3 linked regions of the Mus musculus genome follow. The protein of the gene in region 2 binds, or shares a complex with, the protein of the main gene of each other region. Links are inferred from orthologs where the notes say so. Each region holds a gene or a part of one and is shown on either strand. Other genes may lie near its edges.

The links.
Region 1: Mbtd1 (region 2) and Meaf6 share a complex: the UniProt entries of both Homo sapiens proteins name them as parts of the nuA4 histone acetyltransferase complex. The link is inferred for Mus musculus from reciprocal best matches to the Homo sapiens genes MBTD1 and MEAF6.
Region 3: Mbtd1 (region 2) and Morf4l2 share a complex: the UniProt entries of both Homo sapiens proteins name them as parts of the nuA4 histone acetyltransferase complex. The link is inferred for Mus musculus from reciprocal best matches to the Homo sapiens genes MBTD1 and MORF4L2.

Annotation. Positions count from the first base shown.
Region 1 is NC_000070.6:125,083,939-125,087,960, forward strand, and holds the start of Meaf6 (chromatin modification-related protein MEAF6), read left to right. Parts: upstream 1-1,222; 5' UTR 1,223-1,238; coding exon 1,239-1,328; intron 1,329-2,206; coding exon 2,207-2,322; intron 2,323-4,022.
Region 2 is NC_000077.6:93,927,671-93,931,170, reverse strand, and holds part of Mbtd1 (MBT domain-containing protein 1), read right to left. Parts: intron 1,558-3,500; coding exon 1,410-1,557; intron 1-1,409. UniProt on the Homo sapiens protein: Chromatin reader component of the NuA4 histone acetyltransferase complex, a multiprotein complex involved in transcriptional activation of select genes principally by acetylation of nucleosomal histones H4 and H2A.
Region 3 is NC_000086.7:136,738,553-136,742,717, forward strand, and holds the start of Morf4l2 (mortality factor 4-like protein 2), read right to left. Parts: upstream 2,801-4,165; 5' UTR 2,658-2,800; intron 2,604-2,657; exon of another isoform or gene 2,394-2,603; intron 1,343-2,393; 5' UTR 1,253-1,342; intron 1-1,252. UniProt on the Homo sapiens protein: Component of the NuA4 histone acetyltransferase complex which is involved in transcriptional activation of select genes principally by acetylation of nucleosomal histone H4 and H2A.

The DNA of each region.
Region 1 (4,022 bases), on a different chromosome or scaffold from region 2:
AGGCTAGCCTCAAATTCTCTGTGTAGTTGAGGCTCATCTTGATTTTTTCCCCCTCAAAACAGCTGTCCTGTCTGTCTTCGAGTCCCCTGAGTGCTGGGAATAAAGACATGTGCCACCATGCCTGGCCCTGGGAGGTTCTTCTGTGGGCCAGGCTGGCAGGAAAGGAAGAGATGCTAGACTCAAATTCAGGGATTTGTGCAAGCTTGGGCTTAGGCAGATATTTTACCAACTGAGTTTCATCTACAGCCTTGACTTTCTTTTTTGGGGGGTGGTGGTGAAACTGTCTTATATAGTCTTACTGGCCCAAATACTATGTAGTACCTTGACCTTCCTGCTTCTTTTACCGCGGCCTCTTGGGTGCTAGAATTATAGGCATGTACTACTGGAGAGGAACAAGAGATTAGTGAAGAGGTTTGTGAGAGAGAAAATTAGGCAAGAGGAGTTTTAGAAAATTGAGAATTTCTCATACCTGTTGAACAATATACATCTAGGGCATAGAAACCCAAGGACATCCACCCATGGGGGCAAAGAACGCCACCTAAACTACGAGTGACGTTGCTGAGCACTGAGAATGCAGAGGTGGGCTCAGGGTGTACCTGTAGAGTGCTTGCTTCGTCTGTCCTGAGATCCATCCCCAGCACCTATTAACAGCGGGCATGCTCAACACATGGAATCCCAGCAGTGGGAAGGCAGAGGCAGGACGATAAACTCACGGTCTGTTTCTGTTCAATACCAGCCTGGATACAGTTCTGGATCTGAAGATAGAAGCTAATTCTTTCATAATCCTTCCCCTCCGGCAAACCACGTACAACAGGAGATCTGCTTGCCTGTGCTAAACCCAGCAAGATGTTGGTTTGGGGATCTTCTCTGCAACCCGGTTGGTGGGCGGAACCTTGCTCAGGTTTTCCACCTGCAGTTGGGTGGTGTTGCAAGGACCTCGTCTGCCGGGAGACATATGGAATACTCAACAGGCCTATGCTGCAGCTGGGTTCTCGATGTAGTGAATGTCTGTGGGTGTCTGTTAAGCTCAGAGGCCCACAGTGGAGCAGCAAGGAAGGTCCCACACGTACAAGCGCCTCTCCGCGCCGGCTTTCGCGCGCTGAGCCGGCCAGCTTCCCCGGAAGCCGCGCGCGCAGGCGCGGTGTGGGGGGTCGCGCCCCCTGGCGGCCAGCGGCGACAGTGCGCAGGGTCCGCCTACTGGTCGCGCGCCGCCGCCTCCGCCGCCGCTTGAGCCCAACATGGCGATGCACAACAAGACGGCGCCGCCGCAGATCCCAGACACCCGGCGGGAGCTGGCCGAGCTGGTTAAGCGGAAGCAGGAGCTGGCGGTGAGTGGCCGAGGCCTGGACGCCGTCCCCACTTGGCCTCGCAGGCAGCTCCGGAGGCGAGGACGGCGGGCAGCCAGGGTCTGGGCGCTCTGGGCGGCCGGGCGCGGCGCGGTTCCCTGCGGCGGCGCGGTTCCCGGCCTGCGCTCAGTGGGGCGGGGCGGGGCGGTGAGGGCGCGGGAAGGGCGAGAGGCAGGAGGCGGGGACGACGCTCAGGTCGGGTTAGCGGTTGGAAAGGAGGCGGCTAGACCCCGGCCTGGAGAAGATGCACGATGGATTCCATGGGCGGCGCGTTTCAATGGCCGGGGAATGTGGTGTATTTGAGGATGCCAAGGAACGGGGCTGGCGGGAGACCCAAGACGCAGCCTAGGGAATTTGGATTGGTGACGCGCACCAGGAGCCGCCGGCACCCTGCTGACTGCCCTGTAGGCTCCCGCCTTTTACGGCGAGCATCCGGGAGGCAAAGCTCACCTGAAGCTGCCCTTCCAGGTTTCCATAGCAACCGGCATCCACTGCGGGCGGCCCTTCCAGAGCTAGCAGGGAGGAAGCAGTTGATGTAGAAGAGATGCTTTTGAAAAGCTGTTCACCCTTCTCGCTGCTGGTAGCAACACATTTAGTGAGTGAGAATGGAGACAGCTCACGGTCTGTCTCATCCCTGCTCGTGACAGCTAGGTTTTGCCTCTGAAGTAGATGCAAAATCTTGCATGTGTGTGCATTTTCTGAGGATAGACTATACATTTCATTCTATTTATAAAGGGGTCCATCACCCCTACACTTCCACAGAAATGGTTCATTGTGGGTAAGCTTGACTTTACAAGTCTGTGACGGAATTTCAGTTTGCTTAATGCTTGTTTTTCCCTGTCCCTGTTTTCATCACCTAGGAAACACTTGCAAACTTGGAGAGACAGATATATGCTTTTGAAGGAAGCTACCTGGAAGACACTCAGATGTATGGCAATATTATCCGTGGCTGGGATCGGTATTTGACCAATCAAAAGTGAGTGTCAAAATCTAGTAGTATTAGCTGAGCACTGGTGGTGCACGCCTTTAATCCCAGCACTTGGGAAGCAGAGGCAGGTAGATTTCTGAGTTCGAGGCCAGCCTGGTCAACAGAGTAAGTTCCAGGACAGCCAGGGCTATACAGAGAAACCCTGTCTGGAAGAAAAAAAAATCTAATAGTATCTCTCCATTTTATCCTCTACTAATATTTGGCTGCAGGATTTTTGTTTTGATTTAAAACATGGTCTTACTATGTAGCCCTGGTTAGCCTGGAACTCACTAAGTAAAGCAGGCTGGCCTCGGATTCACAGATCACATAGCTCTTTCTCCCTCTGACTTCTGACTGATAGATTTAAAGGTATGGACTGTCATGTCCAGCTTGGGACATTTGCTTTTGGCATTTACTCTGCAAGGAGATGGTAGAGCCGTAGTGTGGAATGGGGTCTAAGCTTGAACTTGTACTCTGACGGCTCACGGAGAAACCTTGGGGAAGCCAGTATTTGTGATGAAAGAAAATAGGGCCCATGGTGCAGGGATGTGTGGGTGTAAGTGAAGTACAGCCTGTGACCGAACTGTCTTCCACATTTTCATCAGCCACGCTGTGCCATTACGATCTTTGTTCTACCTCCAAGTTCATTGTTACCACTGTCAGCTCAGTCATGCGATTGTATAAAAATGCCTACGCTTGTGAGGAATTTTTCAAATCTGTAGGAAAACTGAGATGAGAATGTGCATGACCAGTTAGTGTTTTTCCCATGTATTCATGAGTTGCTAACTCACTGTGGGTGCATGCTCTCTCTGAAGTACGAAAACTTCTCTGTGTGCTTAAGAACCTTTTGTTTGGAAATAATTTACAGATGGCGATAGAAAGCTGTACAAACAATAGACATGGCTTGTGTGTGCTTACGTAGTTTTCTCTGATGGTTACGTTTTACGTAACTATAGAGTATCATCAAAATCAGGAAATCAAGATTGGCTGTGTGGGGGTGGGGGTGGGGGTGGGTATGGCATTTTAACGTATGTGTATAACTACAGGATGTGAAACCAGGCCCAGGAGATATTGCTCGGTGAGTAAAGGCGCTTGGTGTACAAGCCTGATGACCGGAGCTCAGTTCCCAGAACCTGTGTTAAAAGGCACAACTGGCAACAGGAGAGATGGCTCAGCAGTTAAGAGCACACACTGCTCTGGCAGAGGACAGGAGTTCGACTCCCAGCATCACTGTTAGGTGCCTTACAGCTACCTGTAACGGAGCCCCAGGGGATTAGACTCTGTCTACTGAACTTTTGGACCATCCCCCACCCCCACCCCCACCCCTGCCATTTAACACACATGTGTAAATGCACGTCTGGAATTTTAGCATATGTGGTGGGATTTGGGGACAGGAGAATCGCTCACTTGGGAAGTTTGCAGGACAGCCTGAACTATGTAGTGCTGTCCAAATAACCAGATTGCCTCTGTCTCAACAAGGTAGAAAGCAAGGGCCACTGGTGGAAAGCTGCCCTCTGATTAGTGTGTGTATAAAGATGCAGACCCATTCCGCCGTCACAGGGTCTCCTCCCTGCTCCTCCTCTGTGGTTACATTGCTGTTTGCCCGTGCTTTCTCTCCCTGCTAACCATTGAAGAGTTAGGCGCTTACACCACGAATCTCTGCCTCTAAATATATTATCAGTTACTTCCTGAGAAGAGCAAGGCATCTC
Region 2 (3,500 bases):
TAGAGAAAAACCCAAGGTAAAGGTATTAAAGGTCAGTGGTTAAATCATGGGAGTTGCTAAAAACATAACTTTCTTTTTTAAAAAATAACTTTCTTTTAAAAGATGGATAGCTGGGTGTAGTTGTGCACACCTTTAATCCCAGCACTCTGGAGGCAGAGGCAGGAAAATATGTATGATCTATATAATAAGTTTCAGATTATCAAGAATACGGAAATCATATCTTAACAAAACAAACAAGCTGGGTGGTGGTGGCGCACGCCTTTAATCCCAGCACTTGGGAGGCAGAGGCAGGCAGATTTCTGAATTCAAGTCCAGCCTGGTCTACAGAGTGAGTTCCAGGACAACAAGGGCTGTCTCAAAACCCTGTCTTGAAAAACTAAAAACCAAACCAAACCAAAACCTCCTAACCACCCCCGCCCCCCCAATTTTTAAAAGGCATATGATAATCTAAAAAGAGAGAGCCTTTTTTTTAATCTTTGAAGGCTAAGTATCCATTAAGTGGACACTTAAAATACTATTTAATACCTAAAATACTAAAAAGTTCATGTGGGAGCTAAGACCAGTGGCTGCTCTTCCAGAAAAACAGGGCTCATTTTCTAGCACCTGCGTTTCCAGGGCTCTGATGCTCTCTTCTTGGCTCCTCAGGCACCAGGCACCCAGACTATACATATGGTACAGACCATACACACAGGCAAAACACCCATACCAAAACCAAAAAACAAACAAACAAAAAAACCCCAAATAAAACAAACAAACAAACAAACAAACAAACAAAAATGTATATAGGAACGTACTGAGATCACTGTATTAGAGGGTCTATATATATTGACACAAATTCAGGAAAAACTTCCATTGTAACTTATTAAAATAAACTAGAATACAAAGGTTGTGGGTTTTAAAACTTTTTATTTTATGTGTATTGGTGTTTTGCCTGTATTTCTGTGTGAGAATGTCAGATCCTGGAGTTACAGACATATGTGAGCTGCCATGTGGGTGCTGGGATTTGAACCCTGGTCCTCTGGAAGAATAGTCAGTGCTCTTAACCCCTGAGCCATCTCTCTAGCACCCAAAGATTGTATTTTTACTTTAATGTATTAACATTGAGACAGGGTCTTGTTGTATAGCCCTGACTGGCCTGTACTCACTATATAGAATAGGCAAGTTTCCAACTTGTAGTCGATCATCCTGGCTTTGCTCCCAAGTGCTGGGATTTCAGGCATGTACTACCAGGCTTGGCTTCAGAATATCTCACAGCTCTTGTATGTTTTAGTCTACTTATACATACTCATACATACTGTGTATAAATACACGTACAACAACTAAGATTAGGGCTATGTTAAATGTAAGCAGATTAACACACAAAAACAAAGCAAGGCTAGAAACTGAGTGTTTATACCAGAATGGAGTACCTCTGGGTGGAGTCAGTTCTATCATGTTAATTTCACAGAAACCCACAGGGAAAATGGAAGGAGAGGTTGCATGATAACAGAACCAGTCAGATCCATCTGCTGCTTCTGAGCCATCAATCCCAATCATCAGGAATCCATCAGCCAGCACCTTTGAAATCAAGAGAATCCCAAATACTTGAACATGTATACCACTATTATAAAAATGATATTTTAAACAACATTCTAAAATGAAAACCTATTACATGAAGATGCTTTACAAGTAAAAAACACTTTCTCACTGGATGTTAAGTAAAGAGATACAATAACAAGAAGCTGATATAGATTGTTAATGAATATCAGAAACTAAACAAACAAAAATCATACAGAATTGACTTCAGAAAAGCAAAGTTTACAAAGGGATGACTTAAGATGCTTGGAAAAATGAATGTCTTTGGCCAATTACTGACTAAAATACTTTATGATTAAGCCACCTAGTGCCCAGTGTGTGAAATGCTTGACTGCCAAAGTCTGATGACCAGAGTTGAATTGACAGGACTCACATAGTAAAGATATCCCACTATTTCAAGTTGCTCTTTGATTTCTACACACACACACACACACACACACACACACACACACACACACAAAACCAGGATAAAAATAACCATCTAGTGGTTAAGTGTCAGGTTGTTAGTCCTAACATGTTTTCCTTCTCTTCTGATTTTTTACATAGATAAAACAAACAAACAAAAACCAAACCTTTTGCCAATCCCCCACCTTCTCCAAGCTTCAACTTGGCTGTCTTTTACCATATTCTTCTACGACACTACGACTGATTGGGCCCAACCAAGAGTCCTCTTAACTCTGTAACCATGCCTTAGGCGCCAATTAATAAGCAGCATTCCTGCTTGCCAGTACTACCTCTTGAACTTGAAATCCTCTTGCTCCAAATTCTCAAGCCTGTAATTACAGACTTGTAGAACCATGTCTAATTTTCCCCACATTTATTTTTAACACTTTTTTTTACTTTTATACTTCTAAATCTTGTTCAATTATCACAAGACCTTTTCCAAACACATGTTTTACACCCTTAATATTTTCCAATTCCATTACACTGAAAGAATTTTATACCCTGTCCAACAACCCAGAAAGAAAAAAAGCAAAGCAAACAACAACAACAAAACAAAAAACCTGAAGCAGGCTCAAAACACAAAAGGCATAAGGGTATTACTGCAGCGGAGTCTGTAGACCACACTCTGAGACCTGGTTCAAGGTATATATATTGCACAATTTGTTGTCCCTTTTTAATCCTTATTTAGCCTGCAAAATTCACCAACAACCTTGTTTTCTCAATTCAGTGGTCTGTTTTCCAAAATACTAACCTCCTCAAATATAACCTTATTTAGTGAGACAAAATCTCACTATGTAGCCCTGGCTGGCAAGGAATGCACTTTGTAGTCTGGTTGGCATCAAATTCAGAGATTTGCAGCCTCCACCTCCTGAATGCTGAGATTAAAAGCATTCACTACTATCTATGCCTGCTCTTAAATCTTATTTTATATGACATTTGATTAGTGACTTTACTTTTTTGTCCTTTCACACTCCCAGACTGTCATGTTCTAGTCTATTGATTAATAGTCACTTCTCCATTATTCCCTGTATTGGCTTTTTACCTCCAACCCTTAGATTTCTGATTTTAGCTCTTTGCTTTGTTTCAATGACCTCAGACACAATCAACTTCAAGACTAAGGGGAGTTTCCCCTCCTTGCAGAGCCTCAGTATCCATTTGATCTGCATGCTGTACACATTCTCTAAGAGCTAGTCACTGCCTCAAGTCAACAGCTCCTTCTTTAGTCTTTTAGAAAATATCACTCATGACTCTTATCTCAAACATTCTGGATCTTGTTTTTGTAAAAAAAATTTTAAAGTACTCATTAAATTAAAAAAAAAAAGATATATATGGTTATTTTGCCTGTATGTATGTCTGTGTAGCATGTGTCCCTGGTGCTCATGCATGTCAGAAAATGGCATCAGAGTGCCTGGAACTAGGGTTACAGATGGTTGTGAGTCACTGTGGGTGGTGTAAACCAAAACCCAGATCCTCTTGCAAGA
Region 3 (4,165 bases), on a different chromosome or scaffold from region 2:
TTTCAGATCTCTCTGGCCTCTGCTTTGCCAGTATCTATAGATCTACTATGGATCAACTCTCACTTATTCTCTAAATTGCCTCTCTGCCAGGAAACTGCCTTCCCCTTAAACACAGTCCTTACAAAGGAGAGAAATTAAGGCAATTATAGAATTCCTTTAAAAATGTCGCTGTGAAGAGACTGAGGCACACCCCTTCCTTTCATAGGTTCATGTAACCAGACTCCAATTGTACTTTTGTGTGTGTCACAAGCCCTTTAAAAGTGAGGGGGGCACATTAATTAGACCATGTTTTCATCTCTTGGTCTCTGCCTAAAATCAAGTACATATCAGCTTTCTCATATGGATACTGGAACATTCTACATGTCTAAAAAAATGAACATTGAGGAAAGATCTCATATCCCAGGCTAGATGCAAACTTCCTAGATAGCTGAGGTCAACCTTGACCTTCTGACCCCCCTGCCTCTATCCTCTAATAGATTGTAAGCATGTGCCACTGTCTGGGCCTGGTCTGGGCAGTGCTGGTGATTCAAACCTGGAGCTCCATGTATGCTGGGGAAGCAACTTTACCAACTGGGCTACACTCGCAACCCAACTGATGGTCTCCAGTCTGAACAAAGGAGGAAAATTACATAAAGATTGCTTAGCATGCTGGATATGGTAGCTAAAATTATAGTTCTTGGAAATTTCCTCATAAGGAAATAGCCTTAAAGCTATTTTTTAAAGATTGATTGGAAAAACCAGAAGTCTTAATTTCAGAAGTCAGTCCTAGTAGTTAATGGCTGCTTCTGGAAAATGAGAGAAACCAACAATATTAATTAAAAAAATAATTCCAAGAAAATATTATTTATTTCTCTACAAAAATGTGCTTTTATATATACATAAAATGTTTCATGACTATTAAAGCCATATAAGTATTATTACAGGAAATACTTTTATGAAGACATCTTGGAACAAAGGAAGTTTCTTGCTCAGAATTACACAGAAAGTCGAAGAGCCAGCAATCAAATCCATCAAATCTGTATTTGCTGTAGAGAAAAATAATGTAATATTTGGAAGTGTGAAGCCTTCATAGAGCACTAATTTTTAATTAAGAGAATAAGATTACGCATGACTATATTGTTTATCCTTCCCTTTTCAGAATTTAAAGCACTTTCTCAGATGGCAGCTTATTAATCTTCAAAATACTGCTACACATCTAAGAAGGTTGTGATATAGCTGGTCTGTAAACTGAGGCCAGAAGGAAGGCACTTACCCTGTATTCTGCAACCAGGAATGGTTCTGCAACCAGGGTCAGATCTCCTGATCCTTACTGTATAGCAAACTTAGCTTTTCTGATGATGACCTAGAAGGTCAAACAAAGAGATGGAAAAGGACATAAAAAGATATGAGATGGTGACTTTCCTTTCCATCAGTAAATAAAATTTTATCTCACACAAAGGACATCAAAGCTGATAATGTAGAAATTCTATTTTTCTTGTAGTTTTATTTTCAGATAAATGTACTTTCTTGTATGTTTATCAATTTTGGAAAAAAATTAATTAATTTCTATTAAGGATAATGTGAAATAAATAAAATTGTAAAAGAACAGCAGTACAAACGGCTGCGAATCCTTCATCCAGCTCCAACAATTACCAACTGAAGGCCATCTTGTTTCATCTGTAACCCCACCCACTGCTCCCCCCCCCACGGTTTTTTAAGCTATCGGGAAAAAAATGACTTCAGAATTCCAGAATATTTCAAATATATACCATGGGAAAAAAAGACAAATCCAGGAAACCCCATCTGCCCACCCCTCACTTTAAATGATTAATCTAGGGTCCTGATGATACCCCTCCCCTCGCTGTCTATCGCTGAAATTATCCTGAAGCAGACCCTAGTCATCCATGGATTTTGAAGCCATTTTCTGACATCATTTAATCCCTAAGCATTTCTATTTCTTTCCACAAAATAAAGCATTCTGAAAACAGAACCACATCGCCACCATAAGCATTAAAAAAATTAATAATTTGACACCGATTTCATTGAAGAATATTAATCCTGCATTTAAAAATCCCCGATACGTCTTCAAGAAAATTTTACAATTGGTGTGCTCGAATCAGGATTCAAACAAGGCCTACTCCTCGCATGTGCTTCAGGAGGTCGTTCTCAATCGCTTTCCCCCCCTACATCCTTTTTCTTTTTGACTTAATGTGGGAAAATTCCGACCCCCACATTCTATTAGCAATTATGAGCTAGCAATTATTTTTATCAGGAAGGCTTAATAAATGCCTGTCGTCATAATTTCTTCTAAGAAAGAGGATGATGTACAGAAAAAGATACGATATCGAGCAAATTTGCGTAATTTAAAATTTTTCATCGCCTCTAGAAATATCTTTAGTAACAATTGCTACTACCTTTCGGGGACAGGCTTCACACCGAATGCCTCACACGCACTATTTTACTAGGCACATCTGAATCCGCGTCTGAGATAGCTACTATTACCATTTTACAAACATGGAAACCGAGACACAGAAAAGAGCCTTGCCCAAGCTGGGCGTTGGCGAGCAGGAATACGAATTCCGCTTTTCCTGAATGAGAAGGCACGAGTTAATCCTATCCATAAGTCAAGAAGAAAAGAGGAAATCATCTACCCTTCCTCCCCACCCCCACCCCGAAACCTGAAACGAGAATCCAGCTCTCTCCAGCAGCCGACGTGTGATCACTGCTGCTCCTCCAACCGCCATAGTAAAGCCAGGTTTCTCTGGCAACTGATATCCATAGGCAGACACGTCACCCTGGAGGCGGGCTTAGCCCATCAGCCAATCCTAGCCGTCTTGTCTGAGTTTTAGAATGTTCCATACCCAGATGATTGGACAGCCGCCCCCACGTCAGCAGTGACACTCAGCCGCAGTAAAGGCGGGTGCTAGCAACCTGCTTCTTCATGCTTAGGGCCGACTGCAAACCAATTAGCATCCTTCTTCAGTGAGGGCTCCCGCCAATGGCGATGGTTCTTTTAGGATCTTAGCCCGCCCTCCAAGTGCGCTCCAGCCGTTGGGTCAGAAGTCTATAGGGCAGCGCGTTCACGTGGCCCGTCTTCACGACCCAGAGTTCCCCTGACCGTGGGTTTTTTTTTTCCCCCCCTCGCGCTCGCCTTCTCTCCTGCAGGGAGGCATTATGGGTTTGTGGGTCCGCTCCCCTCCCCCGCCCCCGCCCCGCTGGGAAAGGAAGTGCCGACGTGGCTGGCGGAAACAGGCTAGGCGGAAATGAGCTAAGGTTCCCGCGAGTGGGAAGAGCGAGGGCAGACCCGGGGCCACGCCCCCGAGCCTGTTGCGCAACTCGCGGACCTGGGGAGAGAGGAAAAAAAAACACCAACGCCCCCCCAAAAAAACCAAAGGCAAAGGAATGGTGAAGGTTTTGAGGTGTGAGGCGTGTGAGGGTGGTGAGTGCCACTGGGCGGATGCCTGGATGCTTTGGAGAAACGGGGTGTCTGCGCGCACGCGGGCGCAGGCAGGCTCGCGTGGCTGTGGAGTGTGGGTGTGGGCGCACAGCCGCCCTCGTGGCGCTGGCGATGATGGGTGTGCGCAGGCGTGCTGCCCTGGTGGGGACGGGAGGGGCCGTGTGTGAGTGTGTGTGTGTGTGTGTGTGTGTGTGTGTGTGCGCGCGCGCGCGTGAGCGTAGGCGAGGTCCCTCATTTTGGTGGATTTTTCTGCCTTTTTTATGTTTGCAAACTGCATTAATAAAACTGAGAATAACTAGGACAGTGCTAGTATCTAAAGGAAAGGGCTTCTGTAAGAAAAGGCCTGCCGATTTAATCAAATTCCTTTCTTTTCTTTGCCTTTTTTCGTTTTTTTGTTTGTTTTTGAGGCCTGTTGTAACTAGGTAGCCCTGGCTGGCCTGGAACTCGGAGATCCACCTGTCCCTTCACGGCCTTCGAGCGCTGGGATTAAAAGCATGCGCCACTCCACCCAGTCCGATTTAATTTTAGACCCTAGAGATGATCATTATTCCCACATTATAGTCCACCAAAATAAACTTCTTCCATGGTTAAGATTCAGAACTATATTAGTAACGTAAAAGGGCGTTTCTTTCAAGTTTCCAGTTGTACACCCCCTCCTCTCTGTCCCCAAGGCCTCCCCTTTGCCCTTCACCAAATTTACTGCGAATCTCCCTTATGCCCCCTCACCAG